5 linked regions of the Rattus norvegicus genome follow. The main gene of each other region encodes a partner of the protein of the gene in region 2 in a complex. Links are inferred from orthologs where the notes say so. Each region holds a gene or a part of one and is shown on either strand. Other genes may lie near its edges. The genes, in order: Calr, Gabarap, Tp53inp2, Stx17 and Wdfy3.

Region 1 (6,141 bases), on a different chromosome or scaffold from region 2:
AGATCGTGTCTAAAAGTATGTAGGTATATGTAAGCATGTTGGTATGCTGAGAAGGGAGGAGGGAGTGAGGAATTTCAGGCCAGCCAGTACATACACTAAGACTACCTTGCCTCAAAAATCTTTTTTTTTTTTTTTTGGTTCTTTTTTTCGGAGCTGGGGATTGAACCCAGGGCCTTGCGCTTCCTAGGCAAGCGCTCTACCACTGAGCTAAATCCCCAACCCCATCTCAAAAATCTTAAAAAAAAAAAAAAAAAAAAAGGTGGAGCGGGGGTTGAAAGGGTGGCATGGGCTGTGATGCTAGGGACATTGTAGTTCAGAAGCCATGCTTCCAGAACTCAAACCCTAATGACCAGGAATACTGACTTCACTTTTTGCACTACTCCTCCCTCTGTAAAACAGGCATTCTGGGGAGAACTGAAAACATACCAATGACAAAAACTCAGTACTAATGTTTTTTTCAAATCTTATTTTGTTATGTAGCCAGGGTGGGCAGTGAGCAGAGCTGTAAGTGGGTGATCTGAGCTGATTTTGCAGGGGCACTTTAGCAAAGGACTTACTTAGCACATGCCAAGTAGCCCTACAGAAAGGTGCTCAGTGGGGCCAGAGACAGCTCAGCAAATAAAGGTACTTGGTTGCCAAGCTTTTTTTTAACGACCAGAGTTGATTCCTAAGACTCACATGGTGAAGAGAACCAACTTCTCCAACAATTTTTTTCCTCTATGTATACCGACACACATAAAAACGTTTCAATAACAAATCAGCTTTCTTTTGTGTTAGTAAAAAAAAAGGAGATAAAACAGGAAATGTCTCAATAAGTGGACATTTCAGAATTTAAACACCTTGAGGTTGGTGCCTCTGCCTGTTCTTCCCTCCAGATCAACCAGTACAATCCTGACTACTTGAGGTCTGCCAGGAACCCTTGTCTTTCCTATGTCTCACCTGCCAGAGGTCTAAGCCCAGTACAGCAAAACTATCATAGGCATAGATATTCGCATCGGGGGAGTATTCAGGATTGTCAATCTCTGGGTGTATCCAGGTACCCTTGTAATCTGGGTTGTCAATTTGACGTGGCTTCCATTCGCCCTGTAGAAGAGAACCAGATGAACAGAGGTGGACACATCCCACAGTACAACCAACCACCCTGCTTAGAACCCCAAGGCATATCTTGTCTTTTTCCTGTGGTGCGACATCAATCATAGCACCAAAGGAAGCACCCTACTAGTGAGCAGCACCTCAACACCCAAGCCTACCTTGTATTCAGGATTTTGAATCACTGGTGGTTCCCACTCTCCATCCATCTCTTCGTCCCAGTCCTCAGGCTTCTTAGCATCAGGGTCAGGGATGTGCTCTGGCTTGTCCCAGTCCTAGGAATATACAGGGAGGTCAGGGGGACCCAGGGTCCTCCCCCTAGGATGGAGGTGGAGCTGTTGTCCCAACACTAACCTCAGGCTTGGAATCTGTGGGGTCATCAATCTTGGCTCGTTCATCCCAGTCTTCTGGCTTGGCAGCGTCAGGATCCTTAATCTTCTTGGGCGGCAGAAAGTCCCAATCATCCTCCAAGGAGCCCGACTCCACCTGGCTGTTGTCAATTTTCACCTCGTAGGTGTTGTCTGGCCGCACAATCAGCGTGTATAGATGTGTGAATTCATCATCCTGAAGAAGGAAGGAGGTGAGCAGTCCCTCCCACCAGGCTGCCTGGACCTCCCGTGACAGCCACTTAAATGACTACCCCAGACACACCTTACACCGGATATCCTTGTTGATCAGCACGTTCTTGCCCTTGTAGTTAAAGATGACATGAACCTTCTTGGTGCCAGGACCGCAGATGTCCGGACCTATGTAGGAAGCATATGCAGGCTGATGGCAGGCTCTACCCTTGGGGAAGAAAGACCTAACCTTATGTATTTATGCGTACGTACGTATGTACGTACGTATGTACGTACGTGTGTGTGTGTGTGTACCATGCATATACAGGAGCCTGCAGAGGGCACTGGAGTTGGAGAGCTACTGTTTGAGTGCTGAGAACTGAACTTCAGTTCTTTGAAACCATTGCATCCACTCCAGCTCCTATTTTGTTTTTGACAGAGGATACTGTTACCTTTAACTGAAGCTGCCTTTAAAGTACTCACCTACCTCAGTAGTGTGAATGCTGGAATGTACCATGGCTATCTAGAAATAAAGACCTGATCTTGTCTTTTTTTTCCCCTGAGACAGGATCTCTACGAAGTCCTAGCTGTTCAGGAATCATGGAGAGGCACCTGATTTCAATATACCTATTAAAGGCATCAAAGACTACAAATCTGAAAAGAGTACCATTCTGGGCCAGCAAAGGGCTCAGGGGTAAATTAGGTGCTTGCCACTAAGCCTGATAATGCAAATTTGATCCTGGAACTCAGATGACAGAAGAGATTTCCAAAGTTGCCCTCTGACCTTCACACTAGTACATACACAGGTACATAAAAAATTTGCACTTTTTCCAGTGATTTCTTTGACCCTGTCATTAGCATCATTTCTAAAATTAAGAAACATGTAGAAAATACCATAAAAATGAACAATATAAATCTACAACTAATAGAGTCCACCAACTAATAAAGTAAACCCTTTAGTTGTCCCCTCAGGACAAAAATCATTCAAGTGCTTTCCATGATATGAAGATCAGCATTCTAGTTATAAAGGGTTTCAGTTCGCACCCACTGTCCAACCGGCAGAGGTCAGCATTGGCTGGGGGCCCCTCACCAAACATGATGTTATATTCTGAGTCTCCATGCATGTCCTTCTGGTCCAAGCCACCCGGAAACAGCTTCACGTAGCCGCCCCCACAGTCGATATTCTGCTCATGCTTCACGGTGAACTGTACCACCAGTGTCTGGCCCTTGTTGCTGAAGGGTTCGAATCTGGCGGACAGCGCGTAAAATCGGGCATCTTGGCTTGTCTGCAACCCTGTGATGAAATGGGATTGTCGTTAGGTGGACCCCAAATACCCTAGACCTTGAGGGGCACAGTTGACCGCCCCTTCCTTCCTCCACCTGTCATTGGCTCCCTCATTCCTGGGAAAAGCTCCAACAAGCTGTGTGCACTGACAAGAGCTTCCTCCAGGAAGTTGTCTTGAATCCAAGCACCCACTCCCTCGTACCTTTATCCTTCTCCTGGTCCCCGTAGAATTTGCCAGAACTGAGGACGAATTTGCCAAAATCAGACTTATGTTTGGATTCGACCCAGCGGTTGGTCCAGGCATCTGAAAGAGAAAGGCTTAGGAGTCAGATCAGCGGGACCGTCCGACCCCCGCCCCCATAACCAACGTCTGTCAGGAGCTACAAGCAAGTGGGGGTGGGGAAGGGGATTCCCATCCCAACCTCGAACTTGACACCTCGATCGGCTTCAGGTCCTTGAACGAACCTTAACTCCGGGCGCGGGAAACCGCTGCGCCTTCCTGGTCCCCCAAGGACGCACAAATGGAACCGCCCGCGGCTCTAGTCCCCCCGGGGCCACAGTGTTGGCCCTCTGAACGGTAATTACTTTACACACGACGAGGCAGCCGAGGGCTCGGGGCCCAGCAGTCGCTGAGGCGGCCTCGAGGCGGGCCCAGACCTTACCTCCGTCCAAGAACTGCTCTTTGAAATAGATGGCAGGGTCTGCGGCAGCCAGGCCGAGGAGGCCAAGCAGGAGCGGCACCGAAAGGAGCATGGCGGGCCGAGGGGGCGGCGGCACACTGGCCCTTTAAAACGATCTTCAAGCAGCGGCTCTGCGGTATTGACGGACGCGGCCGCCGCTGCTCCAATTTATATCCACCTACCTCTCATCCCAACCTGACACGACCGCTGAGCCCGCCCCTCGGTCCTTCTGACTGGTTTAGACCTACAGCTGTCCCTTCTCATTGCGTCCTAGTCGCCTCAGCAAGTTAGGCTGTGGCTCGGAACGCTGGGATCCCAGATGGCTGATTTCTATTGGCCGCACCCTGGGCCAATCAGGGTCGACCACGCGTTGTAGGGGACGCCCCCTGTTGGGGTGGGGGCCGCGAGCCCACTCAGGCGCGGTCACGTGACTGAGCCTCAGCCCAACCCCGCCCTTGCTGGTGAGAGTCCCTTGCTCGCCATGAAGTCGTTTAAAGAATCCGCGCGAGCAGTACCGGGTGTTAACCGTGCGGGACCGAGACTGGGCCTCCGTCTCGTCTCGGCCTTTTTCCATCCTTTCTGGTCAGAGGGAAGAAGCAAGGATTCTTTGCAACTTTGATGTTCCATCTATACTGCACTTAGGGAACGCCCACCGATGGCAAGCTTTTCCTATTCAGGATAAGGTCAAGGGCCAGGATCCTGGGGTTTCGCTGCATTCTGGTTCCCAGTTGTTCAGGCCAGTAGAGAATGTACCAGCTTTCTCCTCTTGTCCCGTAGTTCCCTGACAGCCTGTCAGACTACTGTGTGACATGATACAAGTCACTTCGCCTCCCTGAAATCTCAGAAGCCAACAGGGGTGACCCTGAGCTATCTGACAGAAATGCTCTTAAACCTTTCAGGGCTATCCACGGTTTGAGAGCAGGAAACATAGTGGTCTCATCGGTGTGAATGTAAGTGTGTGTCCTTGGGTGAGAGGTAGTAACCCTACCTCTATCATTTTTTACTCTTACGCTGGAAAATGGAAAGAGTCACTTCTTGTGGTCTCCCACAAACGACTTGGCTTTTGCAATTAAACGGCTATGAGCAGACAGCAAGGGGTGCCGTTTGAGAAGGAAAAAGGACACAGATGGCTGTGGTGATAGAGTTCTAAGGAGATAAGCAGGACCCTTGGATCTGGAGGCCTCTGACTCAAATCATGTGACTGTGGCCAGCACCCTGCTTGCTGCTAGGAGGAGGAAGGACAGTACCTGTAGGGGTTGGGGGATGGGAGGTGTTTCCAAACTGAGGAATTGGGAACACTGGAACAGACAAGGAACTGCACAGAAGGAATCCTTACAAAAATGGAGTGCTTCCTTCTCAGTGAGAGGAACTCAAGCAGTAATGACACTTAAGGTCAAGAAGTTGGGGGTCCACTCTGTTCCCCAGGCAGTGTCCAGAACTAAGCATTGCTGGTGTAGGTCCCTCTGGAGGACACCCAAGTCCAACAGACCTGTGACTGGCCCTGTCTCCAGTCCTGTGACTGACACATATGCCTTCTGCTTTGTCCTAGTACTTAAGAAGTTGAATGAAGCAGGGATCAAAAGTTCAATGTAATTCTCAGCTATGATGTAGTGAGTTTGAGGCCAGCCTGGGCTACATGAGACCCTGCTTCAGCACAATGAAATAATGGACTGGAGAGATTTGTTTTGGCTGCTCTTTCGAACTACCCCAGTTCTATTCCCAGCCCCCTCGTGAAGCATCAAAATGACCTGTAACTCCAGTTTCAAAGGGTCTGAAACCCTCTTCTGTGGGCACCAGACATCAAATGGTAGAGAGAAATACGTGCAGGCGAAACACCTATACGAATAAAATGAAATTTAAAAACTAAAAAAGAAACCAAATGTGGCAAAGCACAGCTGTCAACTTCAGCAGGATCGCAGGCAGGAACATGGGAGTCACCCAGGAGCTCTTGACCTGCTAGCTTGTAACCCAGAAGGAAAAAAAGAACAAGAGACTCGGTGTCAGATAAGGTGGAAGGTGAGAGCTGAAGTCCTCTGACCCAAGCACACATTCAGCCCCAGCATTGGGAGGGCCAATGAGTTCCAGGTCAGCCTGGTGTCACTTAGTGCAGTCTAGGTCAGTCAGAGTTACATAGTGAGATCCTGTCACAAAAGAAGAAAATAAGGTGTTTTGAAGCTGAGGAGAAAGGGGTCTAAACTGATGAAACCTGAATACATGATTTGTCTATAACCGGATTGGAATCAGGAAGTACTAGAAATGATGTGTAACGGGCTTAAATAATGAGTTTCTCTCTTAACACACACCAGAAAGGGACATCGAATCCCACTACAGATGACTGTGAACCACCATGTGGTTGCTGGGAATTGAACTCGGGACCTCTGGAAGAACAGTCGCTGCTCTTAACCACTGAGCCATCTCTCCAGCCCAATTAATGAGTTTCTGAGAGTGTCTCAGGACTGGGGATGTGTACCTCTGTGATGGAGCCCTTGCCTAGCAAAACCTAAGGTCTGCGTTCCATCCCTATACTGGA
Region 2 (5,878 bases):
TGGCGCAGGCGCAATAAGCAACTTCCCCACCACCACCACCACCACCACCAGGGGAGTGGCGGGGAGATACGAAGCTGAGGGGGGGTGAGAGCGGAAGAGTGCGCACTGACTCCCGGGAAGTGTAGGCTGGGCGGGACCAAGAAAGTGGACGAAGAAGGGATTATAACTCTCGGCCACCATACTGCCTCACTTTGTACCTTTTTACCACCAACAGGGAACCGCCCCACTTCCGGCCAGGAGAAATGGATGTTGGGAGATGAAGTTCTCCTAGTGATAATGGCACCTTCTAGTATTTGCCCTCTCTCAAATTATACTTTACAGAATCCCATACACTGGCACAACCTCTGCCAGTGACAACCAGTTAAAGACAGTCCTTTTACCACCTCCCAAACAGGAACATATCTTCTTTAATGGGAAGTAACATTTGGACATGTTTACCAAAAAATAGTTCTTTCAAACTTTCTCCATACCACCCCACACTACCAACCTCCACCTCTTTGTTTACATCACAAATACATAAATACAATTAAAGTTTCATGAGAGAATGCTTACATTATTCCACTCATCAAAAAAGGAGGAAAGACCAACATCATCAATGCCTTCCTAGTTCTCTGATCTATACCTCAATCCTCCTTTCCCACCACTGAAGTTCACAACACTTGAAACAAAAAGCCAGGAGGTAGAATGACACAGGGCAAATTCAATTCAGCTCGGTGGTTTCCTCTTTATTGATGTGCCTCCTACCTCCCCCACCCAATGTCAACCCCTTCCATCTACCCCCCAAAAAGAAGGTAGTGAAAGGAAGGGTTTATTGGGGTTCTGAGCCCAGTGGGCAGTTAGAAAGGGAATAGAAACCAAAACAATCATCCGATGTGACAGAGATCGACAATCCAGAAGTCTAAAGCAGAGTGGGAATGGAGGGTAAACAAGGGGAAAGAGAGATGTACAGCGGCTGCATCTACCATTACCCCTCCTGCTCAGAGGGACTGGAGAGACAGCCTCAAACATTAAGTGCAGGTCCTGAAGAAAGGAGATGGTGTTTGAGCCTGAAGGAGGAACTGGATGCCAAGGAAGGAGCGCCACCTCTCTTTGTAGAATGGAACCCCCACCTCCGGGACAGCAACTTCACAGACCGTAGACGCTTTCATCACTGTAGGCAATGTATAGAAAGAAGTCTTCTTCATGGTGTTCCTGAAGTAAAAGCAAAAAGGAGGTTTAAGGCAACTCATTACTCCAACCATTTATCACCAATACATTCCTCAAGAATCATTTTAAGCATGGCCTGGTAATTCCAGATGCAGGAAGGACGGAAATCTCAAGGCCACCAAGGCAACTTAAGAACCTGACTCAAAATAGATCTACAGGTACAGATCATCCATAAGCATTTGTAGGTACCAGACATGCTCCTTAGTACAAAAGGAATAAGAGAAAAGCAGACTGTCCTTATTCTCTTGCTCCTTTAGGAAATGGTGACCCTGGCTGGGCAGTGGTGGCACACACCGTCAATCCCAGCGCTTTGGAGGCAGAGGCAGGAGGAACTCTGTGAGTTGGAGACTAGCTTAGTCTACAGAGTGAGCTCCAGGACAACCAGGCTATTACACAGAGACCCTGTCTGGAAAATACAAAAAAGAAAAAGACTGACCTCAAACTCACTATACTATGCAGCCATTGACCTCCAACTTGATACTATTGCCTCAGCCTCTCAAGGGTTTGCTTGCTCTGTGGGGTGGGGGTGGGGGTGGGGGTATCTTTTAGAGGTTTTGCTTTTGAGATAGGGTCTCATTATGTAGCCCTGGAACTCCCTGTGTAGAGCACACTGACCTTGGAATTCAGAGATCTACCTCCCTCTGCTCCCGGAGCGCTGGGACTGAAGCTGTGGCATGATCACACCCAACGTGCAGTGGTTCTGTGGGTTTTTTTAATTTGGGGGGGAAGGTGTTTTTGATTTGTTTTATTTTGTTTTTACTTCTTATTTTTGATACAGGGTCTCACTAAGTATCTCTGACTCATTAGGATAGCCTCAAACTCCAAGAAATCCAGCAGCCTGGATCGGATTAAAACTGTGCTTGGACTTAGAGGATCAAAGGTGTGCACCATTATCAGTCGTTATTCAGGACTGGAACTTCTAACACCTTTAATACCAGCACTCAAGAAGCAGAAGCAGGAAGATCTCTGAGCCTGAGGTCAGCCTGGTCTACATGTCAAGTTTTAGTGCAGTGGTGGCACACACCTTTTGTTAAGCCTAGCCCAAGGGAGGCAAAACCAAGTGGATCTCTGGAGTTCAGAGGCCAGCCTGGTCTACAAGAGGGGGTTCCAGGACAGCCAAGATTACAAAGAGAAACCCTGTCTCCGAAAGAAAAAAGAACAACAACAACAACAACAAAACCAACAACACCACCACTCCTCAAACTATTTTTTTGACATCTGGGACTCTTGGATAAGGGAAAGAGACTTCCTTAGGTAGTAAGAGTCCCAGTCAAAACAACTCCACCAGCTCATACCCTCTCTCCTCCCACTGCTATTAAGATCCCAACCCAGGACTTTATTGACCTTTTAAAGCTAGTAAGCCAACAGGAACTGCTGACCTTTTCTTTCCTCTCCAAACACGGCCATGGTACTATACCTGGTACAGCTGACCCATCGTGGCACTGGTGGGTGGAATGACATTGTTGACAAAGAAAAACAAGGCATCTTCAGCACGGAGATGAATTCGCTTCCGGATCAAGAAGTAGAATTGACCAACTGCCCAAAAACAGGAGATACAAGAAAGTCAAAGAGATCGTAGGTGCCACCAGAAAACAGCTGCCAGGTGAAGCCTCCTCCCACAGAGATGGCAGGCCCACCCACAGAAAGAAACATACACCATGGGTCAAGCTCCCACCTGTAAGATCAGAAGGCACCAAGTATTTCTTTTTGTCCAGGTCCCCTATCCGAGCTTTGGGAGCTTTTTCCACTATCACCTGATGAAAGGAAGGTACGAATGAGATTTTAAAAAACGTACAGCTATATCGATGAAGAACTCAAGGTACAATATTTCCTTGTACTGAAGCCTATTGCAATCTCATTTCTTAATAATATTTATCCTTACATGCGTGGTGTATCAACATTAGGTCCAGAGATCCTGGCCTCACTGTCTTACCTAAATATTGAGAATTGATCCCAGAACGGTTCATCACAATAACTATTTTCATCAGTGAATACAGGATAACTTGTTTAGGTCAAAAAAAATCTACCTTAAATCTAGCTACTTGGGAGCATGGCCATGGAAACTCTGGTTGTCAAGCTCACTAAGGCCTCCATTCTGAGAAATTCCCAGGTCTCACTCTCTCCCGTCCACATCGCACTCCCAGCTCTACTTCTTCAGACCTCTCGCCCTTGGTACCAGAGACAAGAGTTCTAACCTCAAGGCAGACTGGAGTCTGACCTCGGCTTTCCCAGACTCAAGCCTAGTTTGTGGCGACAGCGTCAGCGACGCTAGCGTCGGCCCTGGCTAGTCCTTACCGGGACCCGGTCTGGGTATTTCTTTCGGATTTTCTCGCCCTCAGAGCGGCGCTTCTCGAACGGATGCTCCTCTTTGTACACGAACTTCATTCTCCCGAGAACCGGGCTGGACCGAGCTGGGCTGAGGGAACCCAGGGGGGGGGCCGGGACAGGGGACGGCGGCGGAGGCGGCTTCGACGAACAGACTCAGCGGAGCGATCCACGAATTTGCGCCACTTCCCTATTCACCAACCCCGCCCCCGACCGTCCGGACCGGCCCCGCCTGCTGACATACACCACGAGCTCAGCTTGCTAGCGCAACCCGCTGCTCCGTCCTCTTACGCCTTCAGCGTAACTGCTTTGGAATCAATTTGTGAGTTACGCGTATGACATCGCAGATAAGGTTGCTGTCGTTTCAAGTCAACTGAAAAATCCTTCCCCAGGTAGCCCCACAGTACAAAGCAGAGGACGAGAGTGGTACTAAGTGGCAGTCGTGAGATTTAGTTCTGCAGTTATTTTCGGAAATTACGTTAGGGAAAGGCAATTACAAGTCTAGATATTCATGAAACGTGTTGCTACGCTGAAGGTGGCCGTTGACACCAAAACAAAGTAGTACCCAAGGTGTGAATAAGGATACCATAAGACGGAGAAGAAAGAGGTTTGCAGACACAGCGAAGGCTCAAGACTCAGGCGGACCAATAGAAACTGCAAAAATCCCAAAGATAGGGACTATATCAGGGCGGAGGAACACATCCCGGAGTGTTGCAAACAAAATCATGTGACCTCAGAAAAGGGCGGAGAATCACGTGGCGAGGGCCAAAATGTAGTCCCGGCTCTGGAGAGGAGGTGCCAGGAAAGAGGGCTCCGCCCCAAGTTATTGCCGGAGTGCCAACAGCTCGTAGGCAGCGCCCTCTCAGCCTGTCCACGTCAACTTCCCAGTCAAGCCCAGCCTTTCTCCAGCTGTTTGCCCTTCGAGGGTTCTAGATTTTTTTCCTCTTCAGCCTTCTATGTCCTAAAGTTGCTCTTCCACTGTGCATCAGGGACTCTATCCAGTCAGTGGGGCTTTTCCAGCCAAACACCGGCATAAATTACTTTATCCCTGTGCTGAATCCCACTTCCGCACTCCAAACAGCATCTTGCCCCTCTGCTTCAGAGGCAGAGCAAATGTAACAAAGTTCCCTCCAAAAACATCAGAGAAGGATCTAGGGCAGCTTTGGTTTCAAAGTTATAATGCATGGTTTAAAAGAGGAAGGAAGAAAGGAGCTGATTACAGGTATTGGGGGGTTGGGGAAAGAAAAAAAATGAGGAAAAGTAAGGAAGGGACAAGACTGAGGAAGATCCAGTGGCCCGAAATCCCAGTCCCCACCCACAGCCCAGCCCTTGGAGCAGGAGTGAAGAATTAGATCAGTTTTGTATAAGAGTTTTTAAAAAATCAAATCACAACAAAGTTGAATTGGCTTCTTTTGAGCCTCTGGGATATGTCTGTCACTCTGGCCAGTCCTGCCTCTTCACCAGACGGTTTCGGTTCCCCTAGGCCTTCGCCTGTCCCAGTCTGGCATTTCCACGGAGTGTGAACACAAAGAGTGAGGCTGCTTCACAGTCTGGCCCATGTGTCCATCCTGACTCCGTAAGCGGAGTGTAGGGCTCCCAGGGCAGAGAGGGGCGGGAGGAGCAGACTCTGCCCAGGCAGTCCTCACACTGGACAGGGCTACAGACGGCCGTCCGAAGAGTTCTCCCTCCCTTTCCCCTCCACCCCAACTCAGGTGGAGGGGGAGCAGCTGTCACCAGAGCCTATGTTGGTGAAGGTTTCGGCTCAGCACCGATCGGACATCAGCAGTGAACCTGGAATGACAGGAACTTGCGTTGGTGGACTACCTTACAGTTGACAACACTAACACAACGGAGTCTCACTGGACAAGACACAACTCAATAACACTTTCACACAGTGAAACTGGACAGAAGCCAAAAGGGTACGAGTAATGAGTAGGAAGACCTGGCCCACACACTTAAGTTCTGAATGCCTTTTCCCCCCCAATTCTTTTAGATTTCCCACACCTCTTTTCCTTGGCAATCCAAATCCTGCCAGTTTTGGTAGTGTACTCCTGTAATCACAGCACTGGAGAAGCGAAAACAAGGTCCAAGAAGCAAGTTCCAAGCCAGCATAGGCTACATAAAAAGAATTTGTCTCCAAAAAAAAAAGAACAAAACCTATAGTCTACAGGCCACCTCCCTTACCTGAGGGCGTCCAACATTGGGAGAAGGTTGAGAAGGGCTGTGTCACTGGGGTCACTGAACCAGGATTTGATGGGGATGGCATTGTCTAGGGTAGGTAAAATTAAAATTGAGAAAATGCAAAAAATTCAGAAGAGCCTATGAGACTTTCCTCAATATTATTACT
Region 3 (6,163 bases), on a different chromosome or scaffold from region 2:
GTAGCTGAAGACAGGGCTAAGCCCCTAGCTACCACAGCAGTGACAATAGAGAAGCTTATGGTGTGTGCTTTTCTGCACCCAGTAGGTGTTCCTGTTTGCATTTAGGAAAGTGTTGGGTCTTTCCTTCTCATCTGTCAAATGACAACAGTAATACCCTAATAAGAGTTAAATGGGGGCTGGGGATTTAGCTCAGTGGTAGAGCGCTTACCTAGGAAGCGCAAGGCCCTGGGTTCGGTCCCCAGCTCCGAAAAAAAGAACCAAAAAAAAAAAAGAGTTAAATGAGCCAAACACTTAATGACATGTTTAGAGCAGTGCCTTGAGCACACAGTAAACATTCAATAAGCTAATAAACTTGGTGTTATGGCAGGGTGCTTTGGGGATATGGAAGAAGTGATATATATGACCAGGCTTTGCCAGGGTAGGTCTCTAGAGGAAGACACAGCCAACCTGGGCTTTGAAGAGTAAATAGGAATTTTCCACTAAGGGAAAAACATATCCTTACTATCATCATCATCCTTACTAACATTCCTGTGTCAGTAACATACACTACACTAACTTCATCTATTTGTCCTCACAGTGGATGAAGGGACAAACCTGGAATCTCAGTACTTGGGAGGTAGAGGCAAGAGGACAAGAGTTCAAAGACATGATGACCCCACGTCTGTCATCCTAGCCCTTAGAAGGTGGAGGCAGGGGGATCAGGAGTCCAAGTCCTGGTTAGGCTACCTAGTGACTTTAAGGCCAGTCTGAACTACATGGGACCCTACCTAAAACACTAAACAGCCTCTGGCTACATGAGATCCGTCAAAGGGACTGAAAAGGAGCGGGAGGGAGAGAGAATATTTTTTCTGGTAAAGAGAAAAATAAAACAAGGCCCAGAGAGGTTAAGTTCACTACCTAGTCTCACAGCTAGTAAAGTGCACAGGTAGTATTTCAATCTACATAGTTAGTGGCACCCATACTCACTACAGTCCACTACTGTCTAGATTAGGCCTTTTTTTTCTTTTTTTCTTTTTTCTTTTCTTTTTTTTTTTTTTTTTTTTTTTTTTTTTTTGAGCTGGAGACCAAACCCAGGGCCTTGCGCTTGCTAGGCAAGCGCTCTACCACTGAGCTAAATCCCCAACCCCTAGAATAGGCTTTTTTAACTTAATAAATAGGCCTGTGGCTACGTGTAATTTTTCTAGGAAAAAAAAATCTTGGACTTCAGCAAGGTTTTCTAAGCAGCAGCCTTTCATAGACCAAGAATAATTAGTGGGGTTTGAAAGGTGCTCCCTAACAGAAACCTCACAGTTCTTGCTACAATCTCCCAATGAGATTGGGCAACCCTCAGATGAGGGGGACCTATGCCCACAGGTCCTCCCCACAACTCTAACCCCACCCCCCTTTTCCTAGATTCTTGTTCAAAGTCAGCATCCCTGGCCAAGAGACAGAATATTGGCTAGTGAGACAACATGCCAGAGAGAGATAGTGGAAGAAGGAAGCTGTCAGATGCGAGGAGCCCTTGAGGATAAACTCAAGTGTTGGACCAAGACCCAATCCTTCCCTGGACTAAGACAAGAAATTTCCTGTTCTAGGAACATTCATCTACCCAATAAAGCTATAGCTTAATGGTGGTGTGACAATGCAGAATGCATATAATCAGAAAAACCTCAACAGATAATATCCAAGAATGATGCAAACAGGGAGAGCAGACACATGCCCTGGTCCAGCCAGCACCCTTGTGCCTATCCACTGAACAACGTAGAAATCCTGGCATCAAACTTTAGCACGCATTTCCCATGGTTCACACTGCGTGCCAGACCCTGACAGGAGCCTTTTCAACTGTTGAAAATGTTGAGTGAGAAGCTGCCTGGTGGAGATCATACAAAAGTTAGTGACAGCCAGTCAGCCAGCTACAACTGCCCCCTCCTCCTCTGACCACTAGGAGAGCCTCCTGGCTTCCTGGTTCTCAGATTCCTGGCTCTGCTCCAGGAAGAACCATTCCCTTAATCCTACAGCAGCTGTGCCCAGAATAGCACTTGAGGCCAAAGCCAATCCCAGCCCAGGCCATTCTTGAGCGACCCCCAACCTGGGAAGGACTCCAGATCTACTTACTTGGAAAGTAAGAAACATCCTTCTGTCACCCTGGAAGCAGACTCGGGAAACAGCCTAAGCACTGTAATCACTAGTGCCAGGCTCTCCCAGCTGCCGGCTTGGGATCTGATGGGAAGCCAATAGAGGGAACTCCCAACTCGCTCTCAACAACATCTGCCCTGGAGACACCTGGAGGCAGGCAACTAGTGACTCACCTTTCTGTGGTCAAAACAGCTGGGAGACAGCAATTAACTGGGTTCTGAGGTAGAAAGAAGGCAGAGGAGGTCGGGGCCTTGTAAGGGACCCAATTTTCAGAGACCCCCTGGGAAAATGACCACGATCAGGAAGAAGACTGAAACACCCATCAAATTGGGTTGGTGCTGAACCCAAGATAGGGTCCTCAGTAGATGGATATATAGCTTGTACCTTGTACTTCAGCTAAGGGATCTGTCGCTTATTGGGTGTGATTGTAATTGGCTGAGATCTCTAATAAACTACGTCTCTCTGAGTCTGTTTCCCCCTCCGTGAAGTGGGCGTTAAGACCCTCAATATTTGTAGGCTGAAAATGACATCAACTAAGTCTCTGCACACATGCCAGGGATTAGAAGAATGTTATTATGTTAGGGGGCGGAGCCTGAAGACTGAGGGGATCCGCTACCATCTGGTGCTGTCTCCAGGACCTGGAGTCTGAAGCTTCCTTCATCTACCTTCCACCCTCTCGACTTAAATCGAGTTTTGCCATCTGACCCTTCTTCAGGTCGCAAGGAAAAAGCAGATGAGATGCCTGACCTCAGTCCCTAGATTAGCTCGGGGAACCGCCGAGTGCCCTCGGGTCTCGCTTGCCTTTCAGCGTCTCTCAACCCTCGACCGGCCGGGCACAACATAGCGCCCACCGGGTCACCAGAGGACAAGCACCCAAGCAAGCCTGGAAGGCGGGGCTGGCCTTGGTGACGTCTCAATGTCATATGCAAATAACGCGACGTCATGGCCTACCGGCTTAGGGCAACCAATAGGGAGCCAAGAACGCAGCTCCGGCTGCCGCCGGCGGAGACAGACAAAGAACGGGAGAGGGGGGCGCAGGGCGTGTCCTGGGGGTGCCCGGAGCCCCCAACCCCGAGGTCGGGACTCACCTGGGGCCGCTGCAGCAACCGCTGCGCTGAGGTAGTTGTGCGGCCGGGCGTCCCCGGGTCGCCGGTGCTCACAACCGGAGCTGCATACCGGGGACAGGCCGAGAGACGGCGGGGCTCGCGAACGGACGCCCGGAGCTGCTGCGGCCGCTGCAGCCGGGGCTCAGGGCACAAATCCGAACGCTTCAACAGCTGATTGTGACGTCACAAAGGGGCCCGCCCGCTCGCGTCAGCGGCCGTCGGAGCGGCGGCCAATCGCAGGCGTCGAATGCTCTTTCCCCGCCCCTCCGCGGCTTGCCAGCGGGTGGCTGCATCCCGGGAGCTGCGCTCCCAGCCTCTGTCTGAGTGGAGGTGACGGCCCGAATTCCCTGCCCCCAGTCACTCACAGACCTCACACTGAAAGCGACCCCCCAATTCTTCCTCAAGAATCCCACCTCGCCGCTTTTTCCGCACATATCCCTGCTCCCTCACTTGTCCCAGCGCTCCGCACATCCTTAGCCTTCATCTTAGGTACAGGACACCCACCCCACTCACCCCCGCCGCGCTCCATCTGTAAGTCCCTTCCCCCCCGCCCCCGTCCCCCTTGTTCTTTACCCCACTTCTCCACACTGTCGTCCTTGTCTGCTCTCCCTCCTCTGTCTTACCCCTACACGTTTTGTTTTCCCCCACGCTCTCCTTTTTTTTTTTTTTTTTTTCCCCCGGTGGGTTTGAGCAGACCTTGCCGGTTCCGCGGTTACAAAGAAGCACCTGCGAGTTAGGGAACTGGTAGGGCTGACGGGAAATCTGGCCAGCGTGGGACTTGGAAAGAAATTGCTCTAAGCTGAATAAACATTGACCTGGAGACAGCTCAGCCTAGAACGTTTACATACCTTATTTAGTCCTTATTTGCTACCGGAACAGGACAGAGGGAGGAGTGACAGACAGGACAGGGATTGTTAAGTCCTGATTTACATGTGGAAAAACTGAGATTACATGTACCTGCCTTTAATTTCAGCACTTGGTAGGTAGAAATAGGTTCAAGAGTTGAAAGGCAGCTTGAGCAACAGGGAACCCCAAGAGAGGGGAGGGAAAGAAGGGGCAATTACTATTGCTTCTTCCAGACTGCCAGCTGACTTTGAATACTTAACATATGCCAAGCACTGTGCTGCTTTTTAATCTTCACAATAAACCCAAAAGGTGGGCATTATCCTCCTTTTATAGTTAAAGAAACAGACTAGGAGGTTCTAAGTAACTTCCCGAGGTAATTAAGCAATAGTCAACAGCAGAGCCAGGAGTTTTAACAGGAGTTAACTTACAGGCACCAACTAGCCTTGACTGATCACTACCTGCACCAGAGGGACTGAATTCCAGGATTCTAATGTCTGCAGGGAAACCTGGCTTCCAGTCCTGTGTCTCAACGATGTGATTTCAAGTAAGTCCTTACTATTCTGGGCCTTAGTTTACCTGACATGCTGCCATAGGTGTCCAAACTTAGAGCTGACAGGGTTTTCCAGACCCTTCATCCTCAAGACTCTGCCAAGTTCATGCTCCAGGCTTGAGCTCTTGCAATGGCCCGTGAAATCCTTAGGGGATTTCCACTGCTAGAGCATCTGGGTCTTTAGAACAGAGTTGGGAGATGAAGCTCTGAGAGTTGCCCATCTGGCCAACAGGAGCTAGTTCAGAGCTCCATGCTCTGGTGATTTCAAGAACCCTGCCCCAGCCTGGTCAGAAAGCTATAAGGGAGGACTGAAGCCTGCCAGGCAGAGGAGACAGCCAGGAAATAATACCCAGAGGCTTGGGGGGAGACGATTAGCACTGTGTTCCTCACACTAGGGTTTCCAGTGTGTCCTCATTTGTGCAAGCCCGAGCCTCTGCCTAGCACAGCCACTTCCTGCTAATCTCATACCCTCCCTTGACCTCCTTGCTGACAAACTAATCACTAATGTGTCCCTCCTGTCATACCGCCTGTTTCCTCTAAAACCTTACATTCTCACAAAGCCCCACAACCCCAACAACACCGATGGTTCTTCACAACCCAGACCCGGTTCTCAACAGCAGCTCCTCCTTTCTTCTCTGTGTACCCTGTGCTAGTAAATCTTTGTCTTTTCAAAACTCTCTCCTCTGTCTAGATTGCCTTCTCTGAGCCTTCCTAACATTCCTCCCTGTCTTCAAAATTCGACTAGACAGTGATGACTTTGATGGACGGTCTCAATTGTTTTTTCAACAAATGGAAGTGTCTGAGTGTGTTGCTTACACTCGTAGTCCTATCTACCCAGTGTCTGGGATAGCCTGGGCTACATTTCGAGTTAGAGCACACATGGTCTATGAGAGAGAGAGAGAGAGAGAGTGTGTGTGTGTGTGTGTGTGTGTGTGTGTGTGTCAGACACACATTGACATTGAGTCAGAGTTTCACTACATAACTCTGCCTAGCCTGGAACTTGCTATGTACATCAGACTAACCTGGTCTCACAGATAATCACTTGCCTCTGCCTCCCAGGCATTGGGATTAAAGGCGTGCTAGCACACTCAGACCCAGTTAAAAAAGTCTGACTGGGGGGTTGGGGATTTAGCTCAGTGGTAGAGCGCTTGCCTAGCAAGCGCAAGGCCCTGGGTTCGGTCCCCAGCTCCGAAAAAAAGAAAAAAAAAAGAAAAAAGGAAAAAAAAGTCTGACTGGATGGACTGGAGAAAGAGCTCAGTGGCTAAGAGCACCGACTGTTCTTCCAGGGGCCCTGAGTTCAATTCCCAGCAACCACATGGTGCCTCATAACTGTCTAAAATGGGATCCAATGCCCTCAACTAGTATGCAGACAGACATGCAGACAAATCACCCAGACACATTCAATAAATTTTTAAAAATCGGAGAGCTGGCTCAGCAGTTAAGCGCACCGACTAGTCTTCCAGGTGACCCAGGTTCGTCTCCCAGCGTCCATGTGGCAGCCTACAACCATTTAACTCGAGTTCCAAGATCTGATGACTTTTTTTCT
Region 4 (6,091 bases), on a different chromosome or scaffold from region 2:
AGATCTTAAGGAGCAAACCAGAGATAACAGATAAATTAAAGCAACAAAAGCAGCCAACTTTTCATCAAAGCAATATATCAAAAGATAGGAATGTCTTCAAAGTCCTCAGGAGCTAGAGCGTACCTAGGTGAGTTATCATTTGTGGTGAAGTCAAAATAATTATTTTCAGACATGCAAGGCTCAGTCTAACAAACTCCTCATTAAAAGAACTACTAAAAGGAGAGGGAGGGAGGGGAGAAAGGGAGGGAAGAGGAGAGAGAGAGGAGGAGAGTGCAAGCTAGAGGAGAGACAGAGAGACAGAGGGAAAGGGAGTGTGTGTGAGAGACAGATAGAAGGAAAGGGAGTGTGTTTTGTGTGTGTGTGTGTGTGTGTGTTTGTGTGAGAGAGAGAGAGAGAGAGACAGAGAGACAGACAGACAGACAGAGACAGAGAGACAGAGAGAAAGGAAGTGTGTGTGAGAGAGAGACAGATAGAGGGAAAGGGACTCTGGGGGGGGGGCAAGAAAGGGAGTGTTTGTGAGAGAGAGACAGAGAGAGACAGAGAGAGAACATGCACATTTCTTTTTGGTACTCCCCAGGATCCCTAGAGTCTGTTAAGGTATCTGGTAGGTAATATGGTCACTAAATATTTACTGAATTCATCTTTCTCCCCTTTAAAACACAAAACATTGCAAAGGATTATGAAAAACACAACAATGAAGAAAATAAAAGTATGTAATGAAAATAATAACCTATTGCTGGGATGACTGACTAACTGAATAATATGACCAAGTATACAGAAAATGTTACCATGTAAACATTCTTACTATATACCTACTTTTAGTAGCATAGTATTACACTGTGCGTGTTCTGTAATGTAATCAACCATTGTTAGCTATTTAAGATGATCCTGTTTCTACTATTAGAAACTATATTCTGATTTCTTTCCTCATATGTAAATCCATATTACCTCCCATGACTACTTAGACAGCTAAAAATAGAAACTTTAAGTTTTAAAAATATACTCATTGCCAAATAAGCCTTTAAAGATTCTTCTATTTACATTCTACCAGAAATACTTCTCCATATTCAAGCCAATGATTAGTTTGATTAGTGGGGAGGGAAATGGTGTCCTAGGAGACTTTTCTAGTTCACACTCCCCTTCTAGATAGAATTAAATTTTTTCTATCATTTACATATATAATATGTAATTATATATCTGAGAGCATAATATTCAAATTATTGCAGGCATTGTGTTACCATAACAAAATATCATCTACCATGCCATCAAATAATAAAATAGCTCACATTTGTTATCTGTTAAAGAATACCTGTTCAATGTCAAAATCTGCTGTAGAAGTGTTTGAAAAATGACTGAAAGTACATTCCATTGGTTTTTATTTTTTAGTCATAAAGTCGGACCATGCTACATGTTTAAAAAGATAAAGAGCTTACACATGTAAAAAAAATCCAAAAATACATGATTCTGAAACTTCTGTGAAGTTATATTATTTTAATGATTTTTAAAAAGCAAAGAGTATCTGTGATAGGATTTATTATCATAGAGTAGTTATATTTGCACTTGTCGAAACCCATGGGCCTATACACATCAAAGAGTAAATGCTACTTCATGCAAACTTAAAAACATCAAGATACAGGAGAAGTAAGACTGCATTACCAAGGGGAAGGAAGCAGGTAAAGAGCAGGACATGGTAGTTTGGTGACCACTGTAAGGTGACAACAGTTGTGCTGTATGCTTCTCTGGGTAGTATATTTCAGACATACTGGAGTGACTTTCTGCATATACCAGGACTGAACAGATAGGGGAACAATTCCCAGAAAATGAGTCAGTCCTCAGTTAGAGAACAAGCAGGAGCCAATACCAAGATGATCTTGGTAGTGTAAAAAGACAGAGAGATACCAGTCTGTATGTACTGCTATCTTTTGTGAGGCTCTGGGTGCAATGACACCCTAGTAGCTGTGAGTACCCCTAGACCACAGGCCTTAGTGTCTAATACCACTCTGAAAGACAGAGAGAGGGCTGCAGGTGAGGGAAGGAGACCAGGAGAGATGGCGTTGATTCCAGAACTGGTGAAGAAGTCAGAGGTACAGAAAATAATAATGACAACACAAAGCCTAATGGCCAAAGTACATAATAACAGTAAAATAATCATATGAGCTTTTGTGTTTTGATTTTTCCAAGACAGGCTTCCTCTGTGTAGCCCTGGCTGTCCTGGAACTCAAATCTGTAGACCAGGCTGGCCTTGAACTCAGGGAACCACCTGTCTCTGCCTCCCAAGTGCTAGGATTAAAAGCATGTGTCACCAGGACCCAGCAATCCTAAGTTTATGTTGACACAAAGAATTGAATACAGATAAAGAAATGAGAGAAGTGGAAAGCTCCTCCTTTGAGAATTCAATAAAGGAAGGAGGGAAATTGAAGGTTGTCACAGTATCAAAGTAATAGTACTGGGAGAATAACTGGAGTACTAGTTGCTATGGAGACTCCCCCAGATACCAAATTTATCATGATTGTGTCAACACACAAGCAGTAGGTCCCATCTGGAGGTTCCATGGAGGCATACACTGAAAAGGGGTACTTACACCCTGTGGTATTCTTAAGAGAAATGCAACACAATCTAGTCACAAGTAACTGTAGACAAACTCCTGATTGAAGGCACTACCAACAATCCTGACTCTTCAAAAGCATAAAAGTCATGAGACTGTTACAGATTGGAAAGGGTAATGGCGCCAGGTCGATAAAGAGTTAAGGTTGTATATTAGATCCCATTGGAGGAAGGACTCTGATAAAAAGAATGGAATCACAGAGAGACCCAGTTAATCTAATATTAATCTCTTGCTCTCAGTGACTGTACAATGTATGGTATGTGAAATACTAATACAAGGGTGCTGTAGTGTTCTGTTATTACTAGTACCGGTTTTCTTACTTTCTTTTTTAAAAACAGGGTTTCTCTGTGTAGTTCTGGCTGTCCTGGAATTCAGTCTGTAGACTAGGCTAGCCTTGAACTCAAGAGATTCCCCTACCTCTGCCTCGGAAGTGCTGGGGTTAAAGGCGTGGGCCACCAAAGCCTCCTGCAATTTACGAGACTTTTCAATAATTGTAAATTACTCCAAAGTTTTTGTTTCGTGTTTGTGCATGTATACGAATTGCTGTTTCATGGATGAAAGAATCGTTTCGAAGTCTTTAGAGGTCAGGACCGCAGTCATTTTCCAAGCACACACATTTGCAGTGAGAGGTGTCAAGTGCTTTACAAACTTGATCTCTTGGTACTTGCAACTAAGATGACATTGGGTACCATGATACTAGGGTTCCACAAGAAGAAAAAAGTACCCAAATGTGAAGTAAATTACTCGAGAGTTATCTAAAAGCGAAAGAGCCCCTTTCCTAGAAAAAAATGTCCCTAATAGTTGACAGCACTACCCCTAAAGAAATGCATCCCCTTGGGCATGTGGGTGGTACACGCAGCCTAAGCGCTGACTCGGCCCCGCAGCTGCGGCCTCTCCGCGTCCTGCTTAGGCACCGGCGTCCTCATGGAGTCACCAGGGCGCACCCGGGCTACACTGGCAACCCCTGCAGCGCGGCTGGCCCAGAGACCCAGGGCCCGGAGCACCTCTTCATAGCGACCCCGGAGGGCATGGCGCCGCGGGGCCTCGGCCTCCCCGCTCCCGCAGGGACAGCTACTCCAAAACTGAAACCAGGGAGGCTTGGCCACTTCTACTCGCGGCCCCGGAGCTCACACTAACCCGAAGCCGGGCTTGGAGACCGGTGCCTCTCCGGTGCGTCCACAGCCCGGCCCGCGGTGCCACGTCGTAGCCCAGCGCCCCCGAGGGGGCAGCCCGCCAGCCCCTTACCTCCCGCCTAGGCGCTCGAGGCCGTCGGTACAAAGTGCGCAGGCGCGAGGGGCGGGGCGTTCTCGCTAAGGGCGGAGTTACACGGCCCCGCCCCCATCACCCCAGCGGGCGTGATGTAGATAGAGAGCCCGCCTCTGGAGGAACAATTCCAAAAGTGTTGTTTTATGGGTCGTCTTGTGTACTGTATCCAAGACAATTTACATTCGGACAACCCTCTACATGTTACAGTTTTCCTGCACATTGTGTTCCTTGAATTTTGTTGGCGAGGACAGCCTCGTACCCTCAGCTCTTCAGGTGTGTGAAACTGAAGCTCAGAAACGGTGTGCCAACCTCCCCCGCCTCGCCCCGCCTCCCAAAGCCCCTGAGTGACAGGCTAGGGGGCATCTGAATGGCCACAGGCACAAAAGGAAGCAGAGATGAACTTTTTTTTGTCCACAGCCTGCTGCCGTGCTTTGGGCGTCTGTCCTTATTAAAATGATAGCTTGTCGCTTTGAGGCTCAGCACAGATATGAAGTGACTCACTCCAGTCCAGCCCGTTTGTGACAGAGCTGGACTCACACCTGGTTTCCCTACTTTCCTTCTCAAGTCATTCCAGTTGGACCAGCTGCTGCAAGAACAAGCTTTGAAGTGTGTGCAGGTCATTGGTCCTCCTCTCTGAATGTTCTGACCTCAAGACCTAGCCAACTAAAATATGCATACACATACACAACACACACACACACACACACACACACACACACACATTTTTTCAGGTTTTTGCTTAGAGTGGATCTTCTGATAGGGTAGTTTTCAACAGTCTTAAGAAGATTCCTGTTGGCTCTAAGGAAACTCAGTTCTTCAGGTGGAATGAAAGTAGAGGGAGAATTTTAGCCCACAGATTAGGGGCTTAAGAAAGTCTTGAAAGTGGGGGTTGGGGATTTAGCTCAGTGGTAGAGCCCTTGCCTAGGAAGCGCAAGGCCCTGGGTTCGGTCCCCAGCTCCCAAAAAAAAAGAACCAAAAAAAAAAAAAAAAAAGAAAGTCTTGAAAGTCGATGTTTAAAATAAAACCCACTATTAATTAAGCTATTTGGATTTTCTTTGGGGTATGTTGAATGCTAGTGTTTATGGTTCCCTTAATTCATAAAATGGGGTATGTCTATCAAATTTTCATCCCAAGGAGAAAAGTAAATGTATTAGGTAATACCTTAGTAAACTTTTATTTATTTTTTTTTTATGCCAGAGAGTCAGTTAAACAAGAGAAATAGGGAATGGTTTAATTGGCAAAGGGGATAAGCACAAGATTGAAGGCCCGAGTTTGGACACCCAGCACCCATATAAAAAGCCAAGTTCTGTGGCATATGTTTATAAATGCTGTCTAGATAGACAAAAGGATCCATGAGCTAGCCCGGCAGACAGCTGGTCTTGTTGAATTGGTAAGCCCCAGGTTCACTGAGAGATGATGATGTGCTCTCTCTCTCTCTCTCTCTCTCTCTCTCTCTCACACACACACACACACACACACACACACAAAGAATTGGTTAAACAGGACCTTTTGAATTAAAGATAATCGGTGTTAAGTTCTGAAAAAGTGCCACAGGAAGCTGTGGCCCTCTAGGGTTGATCTGGCCTTCTAGGTAGCTCTATGATGTTTGCTGTAACCTAGGTGTATCAGGTAGAAAGATAAAGATATTTAATCTAACAGTTTGCTAGCTACACTTATAATTTACAATATTTAATTGAATCTTTCAATATTGAGACATAAGGAGTGTGACCAGGTTTTGTGCTCTTGCCCTAAGCCATAAAGTTATTAGGATAATAAGATCTGCTGCCATGAGACAAAGTTTTCTTGATATCCTAACTAAACCAGATCCGAACAAAACAAAACAGTAAGCAATATACATTCCAGAAAGAAGCCAAAAAGGGAAATCATTACCTGGTAAGACTATTGCTTCCACATAGAGCCTGTAGAAATGAGTTCGAATGACTTCAAGGTGATTAAAGAGGTGGCTTTCCCAAATGATAATCACAAAGTTAAAAATGTAGTAGGAAAGTGAACACTGAGAAAAATGTGTGTTTGTGTTTCTGAGAAGGTAGAGAACCTATCAAAGGAGCTGAATAGCCCCAGTGAGGTTGGGCGGGGCGAAGGGGAGACTTAAAAGGAGCGTCAGATAGCAACAATCTCAAAGACAAAAAATACATGATCATCTCTTTAGATGCAGAAAAGGCCATTGACAAAACTCCACCATCCCTGTATGATAAAAGT
Region 5 (5,421 bases), on a different chromosome or scaffold from region 2:
AGTCCTGATCACCGGTCTGGACCAGTGACGGCTGGAGGAAGCAATCCGATGCTAAGCCAGGCAGTCCAAGTTTGACCTCTGACTGAGCACTGGGCTGCCTTCCCCGTGTGCCCTGCTGTCCCGCCTTTAGCTGTGGCGAGTGCTAACCCCACTTAGGTCAGAGGACTCAGTGCTCACCGCATTCCAACATTGGATTTGTTTCCTTGTTTTGAATTTGGTTTCCTCCTTGGGACCCGCTCACTTTGTTCCTCTCAACACATACCATATGTTTATTAATGGCATTCGGTGACATTTCTGTACACATGTACAGCGTGCTCTGATCTTAACCACTCCTCTCTGGCTTTGTCTCCCTCCCCCAGCACCTTAACTAGCACGTAGTCCACCTCCAGGTCAGGCCAGCCTTTGTTAGCTTCAGCGTATGGCCATGAACGTGTGCCGTCGTCCGTATACGGTCTTTCTCTGTATGCACGGCCTACCTCACTTGGCACAAATGTTCCTCAGTTCAATTTGCTCTGGGACATTCACGATTGGCCACTCTGGAGCGATGCTGTGGGGCACTGTTGCCTTACGCTGGAGTTTCACATTCAGTTTATTTATTTATTTTTTTGGTTCTTTTTTTCAGAGCTGGGGACCGAACCCAGGGCCTTGCGCTTCCTAGGCAAGCGCTCTACCACTGAGCTAAATCCCCAACCCCTCACATTCAGTTTTTAAACTGAGATCTGTACATCTTGTGGAGCTGTACCAGTGACACTTAAGTCACCTTCGGAGAGTCTCAAATGAAGGACACCTCCATCCAGTTGGCTTGTGGACAACCGGGTGCTCAGGAGGGTGACTGGGCTGGCTATGTCAGATTTTGTGCAAACCCTCAGGAGTGTGGCTGTTCTCAGCAGCAGAGCAGGAAGGCTGGGCCGGGTTCTACTCTCTACAGAACTTTCCCCTGGGCTGGCTTGGCAGCAGCTGGCACTATGCAGTCAGTGCTCCCAATGAGAACAGTGGCTGACTTAGGAATCACCTATACTTAATATTTGGACAGCACTCCCAAGAGCAGCAAGGTGGCTGTGCTCCACCTGTAACTGCAGGGTCAGAACACACGGCCGTGACGGCCCCACCCAGAAAGGCCGGCAGGGCGTGCCTGCTAATTCATCTTGCAGCCTACTTCCCAGAATAAATAAATAAATAGTAACTACGACCCGTTCACCCCCTTGCCATCCTTACGTTCCCATCCTTACATCATCCGGTCCTTGTGGCTGCTCTCAGGGCAAGCTGTCTTTATCCATCTTTTAGCCACAGAGAACAAGCTCAAGGTTTTCAGTCACTTAACCCGAGGTAATGGTGAACAGAGATCAGAGTCACTGGAAAGGCCACCTCCTCACCAGAATCCATACACTGCCTATGAAACCTCAGAACTTGCTGTAGAAAATGATTACTCAGGAATTTTCTGTGAAGCATTTAGACGGAGGCACTGTGAGAGTCAGAGTACAGAGCTGTGTGTGCTGGGCGAGGGGGGCTGTCTGTGTAATCGAGGTGAGAGGGGGGCTTTCTGTGTAATCGGGGTGTGTGTGCTAGGCGAGGGGGGCTGTCTGTGTAATCGAGGTGTGTGTGCTGGGCGAGGGGGGCTGTCTGTGTAATTGGGGTGTGTGTGCTGGGTGAGGGGGGGCTGTCTGTGTAATCGGGGGATAGCGAGTTCATCCTCATTTTGGGCCAAGATAGACTCCTGCCCATGACCCAATGCAGACTCCAAATAGATTAAAAAGTGAAACTTGCAAACCTTAAAATCACACACACACACACACACACACACACACCACAAATATAGTAAGTGCAACCACACCAAAACTGGAACCTTAGTACTAAGACAGCACAAATGCAAAACTCAATACAAGCCCCAGACTTGCAGGAAGTGTGTGCAGACACGGAAGGATCTGGTCCTAGTACCCATGGAACTCAAGGAGAGAGACCGCCAAGAGGGAGAAAAGAGTGCAAGAGACAAACCTTCAAGGAAAATGAGGAGTCTCCCAGTGGCATCTGAGAAGATCACCAGGGTCCCCAGCATTGAGGTTAAACCCTCGAGGCACATTTATTTCCTTAGCCACTGAGTTGGCAAAGGGGAAACGGCTCAGCCGTACCACAGAGGACTAAGAATTTGGAAGGTCCTGCGGCACTCGTAGTAGCACAGTTGTGAGGGTCATTTACAAGGCACGGTTAAGACCCAGGGTCAAGCCCGTGTGCTGTGGCGTGTTCTACTCTGTCTCCAGCAGAGAACTCTGGCACTTGGACCAGAACACACTGTAGCTTTACATAATTTGCAAAATGGAAAGACGACCCCAGGAATCCTTAGGGGGTGAGTGTGAGGGACACGCACTCCTACATGGTCCCGGCACAGGAGTAGAGCAGATAGGCAACGATCGCTGACATCTGTGAGTGGATTTCAAACAGTGGAGTACTACTTTACAGAGAAGTGCACAGCGGAGAAACGAGACACTGTGTGCAGAGCCACAAACACTGAGGGCAGTAGAGACACAGGGCAGTAGATGGGGAAGGACACAAGTTCTGTGTGTGGGGTGGACACGCACATGCCCTGTGTGCCTCTAGAATGATCTGGTGGAATACACATGCGTGTTAAAGTCGGGCTGACAGCTGTTTCTGTGTTCTCTATGAGAGAGGTCGCTCATGATTGTAGAAAAGGAAAGAGCAGAAATGACGATGGGTTTACATAAACCCCCACCCCACAGGACACGGCCATGCAAATCAGCGCCCATGCAGGGCACAGCGCCCCCAGGAAACTCACTTCTGACAGAAGAGCTGCCCGCAGTTCCTGCAATGGTGCCTTCTCTCTGTGAGGGAGAAGCGTACAGAGCATCCTGAACAGCTGTCACCACCTTCGTCCTTCACCCAGTGGTCGGCCGCAGAACGGCCAGGCTGGTCACTCACAGACCAGCTGAACACTCGGCCTCGGCTGTCACCCACGAGGATCCTGCTGTGATCCCTGTGCAAAACAGGAGACGACCTCTGCTTCAGGGCTCGGGGTGGGGGGAGGGGGCTCAGAGGGAGCCCCGATTCCCTCAGAGGAAGTTAAAGGAGACAAAAATCAAAACTGAACCTGAATTTATTTTCCCATTTTAATTTCCTTTGGCTCAACACTTGCTATGTCTTTCACACACACGGATGTTGGTTTATTTGTTGAGAATTAAAACCCACACAGTGGCAAGTTTTAGGCCAGAAGCACCAGACCAGCTAGGACAACGTGTGCTTCAAGGACCGGGTTAAAATGTGGGTCCCTAGCCTTGTCCAATGACCCAGAGAGGGAGGTGGGCTGGAAAAAGCCGGGCTCTTACTTGGAGACACCCAGTGCGGTGACCTCAGCTGGATGAGTGTTGTCCTTCCGATCAAAGGCCGTGTGCATAGTCAGTTTGCTTCTGAACACCAGCTGCCGCTCCCACCGGTACCCTGAAATGGAGACGTCAAGACAGACGAACTGAACCTAGGGCGTTCCATCAAGGGAGTTTTCGGACTGTGGCTCCTTTTCTATAGCGTGCCCCACTTGATCTACAGGAAGCCTCTGTCTTTGGCTTAGGCACAGAGTTGATCAAGGATAGAGCTCAAGGGAGACGGACCCATAGCCGGAGGACCTGTCACAACACTCACGGGCAGGGGGAAAGACAGCAAACATCAAGTTACCAGGTTTCAATCTGCTGTAACTTCGTGCTTCAGTGGGGTTGGGGTGGGAGTGGGAGCCCTGAGGATGTGCTCTGGCCTGGCCCTCTGAATAGTTCACAAATATGAAGCCATCTTTCTCATCAAGACTGAGCTGGTCGGACCAGCGCCGGGAGTCATCAGAGCCGCTGTCAGTGCACCATGTGGCGGTGGCTCTGCAGGAGGCTGCCCGAGGCCTGTGGCTGGTGCTGCTGGGCTGGCTGGGCGTGTCCTTAGGATCCTGGCTGACACTGGGCTCTTCTGCCTCAGAATCACTGCTGTCTTCATCTTGGGCTTGCTGCCCTGGGTAAAGCATTGGGAGAATGAGAGATGGCGGGCTCATCAGTTAGTGCCACAACCAAGTCTATGCAGCCGGATTCTACATGGTAAGAACACGCAGGACCCTCCTTAGAATTCCATGTCCTAGACCACAACTGAGAAAATCGCTAGCATGGCATTTGATCCCTCCTAGTAAAACCCGAACCACGCTCTCCCAGATAGCCTGGCTCCTCAGGTGCTCGCTCCACCTGCTTGCTCCCCCTCACAGGAGCGCCAAGCACTGATGCTACTTTACTTGTCTTCAGAAAGCCCGGGTGCACTGGTGTCACCTGTCTCCGACGACACCTCACTGTCTAAAATCTTACCCAATACCTTCTACTCAAAGCACCTCCTCCCTCTTCCAAACTCCCCCTGCCAAGCCTCTTGCTCCTATGCTCCTCTCTAAACCATTACCTCTGCACTCTTTACAGTGGCCGAGGGGAGAACAAACGTGAGTCACGTCCATGGCGCGTTCCAGCGCGCGCGTGTGTGTGTGTGTGTGTGTGTGTGTGTGTGTGTGTGTGTGTGTGTGGTAATGGTGGTAGGACGGCAAACATGAGTCTCATCCGTGCAATCAGTAACCACGTGACTTCTAATACGAGTCTGAATCTTCCTGCTGTCCCTTTACATCTCCACACACACCATTCCCTACTGCCTCCAACAATGCCTCTCAAAGGGAAGATCCACGGGCAAGGTGTGAGCACGTGGAAACGAGAGGAATGGAGAGAGCACGCTCCACACACCTACTCACACATGAGCCAGGCTGGCCTTGAGTCTCATCCATGGTATGCACCGTTCAGTCCTTCTCTGTGGACTTTCCCCTTGCACACAGAGGATGACACTCGCTGCCTCGACGCCTAGTCCTGCCCTCTTCCAGCCCACCATGATCATTGAGTCATTCACTAAAGAAACGTGACTCACTTCAGGGGTAAGACAGGCGACCCCCAACGGTTACTGATTAGAAATTTTATGTTCCTCCTACCAACACTTCCCATAGCCTCTTCTGAAGCTACGGCTGAGCCCGTGGGAACTGACATCGCCGAGATCACGCAAGAATCAGAACGTGCTGATTATGGGTTTCTTCTTCCCGCACAGAAGGCAGGTTCTGAGTTTACCAAGAGACTGCACTTCTGGGCACCCGCCTTTCTTCTTCTTTTTTTTTTAGAACATTAATCTCCCAATTTATTTTAGCACCTGAACACAGACACACACACACTCAGACAAATGAGTAAACATTCAGAAAGGGAACTGTGGACACAGCAGAAAGACATCGAGAGAGACAACTGGAAATTATGCTGTGTCTAGAAACCAAGGAAAGCTGGATGCTTCCTTGGCAGAAGCCAGGAGAGATGTGAAAGTGCCCGCCCAGAACCTTAAGAAGCAATGTTTTGTTAATACTTTTAGACTTCT

Evidence for each region.
Region 1: the proteins of Gabarap (region 2) and Calr are in contact, whole or in part, in a crystal structure (PDB 3DOW), measured with the Homo sapiens proteins. The link is inferred for Rattus norvegicus from reciprocal best matches to the Homo sapiens genes GABARAP and CALR. Residues at the interface, in NP_009209.1 of Homo sapiens: Glu17, Ile21, Tyr25, Arg28, Pro30, Val31, Ile32, Lys48, Tyr49, Leu50, Val51, Pro52, Leu55, Phe60, Leu63, Ile64, Arg67, Phe104; in NP_004334.1 of Homo sapiens: Asp199, Trp200, Asp201, Phe202, Leu203, Pro204, Pro205.
Region 3: the proteins of Gabarap (region 2) and Tp53inp2 are in contact, whole or in part, in a crystal structure (PDB 8T31), measured with the Homo sapiens proteins. The link is inferred for Rattus norvegicus from reciprocal best matches to the Homo sapiens genes GABARAP and TP53INP2. Residues at the interface, in NP_009209.1 of Homo sapiens: Tyr5, Glu17, Ile21, Tyr25, Arg28, Pro30, Val31, Ile32, Lys46, Lys48, Tyr49, Leu50, Val51, Pro52, Asp54, Leu55, Gln59, Leu63, Arg67, Phe104; in NP_001316358.1 of Homo sapiens: Glu31, Val32, Asp33, Gly34, Trp35, Leu36, Ile37, Ile38, Asp39, Leu40, Pro41.
Region 4: the proteins of Gabarap (region 2) and Stx17 are in contact, whole or in part, in a crystal structure (PDB 7BV4), measured with the Homo sapiens proteins. The link is inferred for Rattus norvegicus from reciprocal best matches to the Homo sapiens genes GABARAP and STX17. Residues at the interface, in NP_009209.1 of Homo sapiens: Tyr5, His9, Lys13, Glu17, Lys20, Ile21, Arg28, Pro30, Lys46, Lys47, Lys48, Tyr49, Leu50, Pro52, Leu55, Gln59, Phe60, Phe62, Leu63, Lys66, Arg67, Phe104; in NP_060389.2 of Homo sapiens: Ala169, Glu170, Ser171, Trp172, Glu173, Thr174, Leu175, Glu176, Asp178, Leu179, Glu181, Leu182.
Region 5: the proteins of Gabarap (region 2) and Wdfy3 are in contact, whole or in part, in a crystal structure (PDB 3WIM), measured with the Homo sapiens proteins. The link is inferred for Rattus norvegicus from reciprocal best matches to the Homo sapiens genes GABARAP and WDFY3. Residues at the interface, in NP_009209.1 of Homo sapiens: Glu17, Ile21, Lys24, Tyr25, Arg28, Pro30, Lys46, Lys48, Tyr49, Leu50, Val51, Pro52, Asp54, Leu55, Leu63, Lys66, Arg67, Phe104; in NP_055806.2 of Homo sapiens: Glu3342, Lys3343, Asp3344, Gly3345, Phe3346, Ile3347, Phe3348, Val3349, Asn3350, Tyr3351, Ser3352.

The regions. Positions count from the first base shown.
Region 1 is NC_086037.1:40,210,973-40,217,113, reverse strand, and holds the start of Calr (calreticulin precursor), read right to left. Parts: upstream 3,748-6,141; 5' UTR 3,685-3,747; coding exon 3,594-3,684; intron 3,236-3,593; coding exon 3,134-3,235; intron 2,941-3,133; coding exon 2,737-2,940; intron 1,836-2,736; coding exon 1,741-1,835; intron 1,654-1,740; coding exon 1,444-1,653; intron 1,365-1,443; coding exon 1,251-1,364; intron 1,084-1,250; coding exon 940-1,083; intron 1-939. UniProt on the Homo sapiens protein: Calcium-binding chaperone that promotes folding, oligomeric assembly and quality control in the endoplasmic reticulum (ER) via the calreticulin/calnexin cycle.
Region 2 is NC_086028.1:55,211,284-55,217,161, reverse strand, and holds Gabarap (gamma-aminobutyric acid receptor-associated protein), read right to left. Parts: upstream 3,698-5,878; 5' UTR 3,592-3,697; coding exon 3,502-3,591; intron 2,961-3,501; coding exon 2,882-2,960; intron 2,743-2,881; coding exon 2,624-2,742; intron 1,192-2,623; coding exon 1,126-1,191; 3' UTR 375-1,125; downstream 1-374. Other genes in the region: Ctdnep1 (CTD nuclear envelope phosphatase 1), read right to left, coding at 5,262-5,322, 5,716-5,800. UniProt on the Homo sapiens protein: Ubiquitin-like modifier that plays a role in intracellular transport of GABA(A) receptors and its interaction with the cytoskeleton.
Region 3 is NC_086021.1:164,339,374-164,345,536, reverse strand, and holds the start of Tp53inp2 (tumor protein p53-inducible nuclear protein 2), read right to left. Parts: upstream 3,401-6,163; 5' UTR 3,204-3,400; intron 3,160-3,203; exon of another isoform or gene 2,863-3,159; intron 2,333-2,862; exon of another isoform or gene 2,095-2,332; intron 1-2,094. UniProt on the Homo sapiens protein: Dual regulator of transcription and autophagy. Positively regulates autophagy and is required for autophagosome formation and processing.
Region 4 is NC_086023.1:67,239,526-67,245,616, reverse strand, and holds the start of Stx17 (syntaxin-17), read right to left. Parts: upstream 3,875-6,091; 5' UTR 3,851-3,874; exon of another isoform or gene 3,743-3,850; intron 4-3,742; exon of another isoform or gene 1-3. UniProt on the Homo sapiens protein: SNAREs, soluble N-ethylmaleimide-sensitive factor-attachment protein receptors, are essential proteins for fusion of cellular membranes.
Region 5 is NC_086032.1:8,105,989-8,111,409, reverse strand, and holds part of Wdfy3 (WD repeat and FYVE domain-containing protein 3), read right to left. Parts: intron 3,997-5,421; coding exon 3,679-3,996; intron 3,448-3,678; coding exon 3,336-3,447; intron 2,987-3,335; coding exon 2,789-2,986; intron 1-2,788. UniProt on the Homo sapiens protein: Required for selective macroautophagy (aggrephagy). Acts as an adapter protein by linking specific proteins destined for degradation to the core autophagic machinery members, such as the ATG5-ATG12-ATG16L E3-like ligase, SQSTM1 and LC3.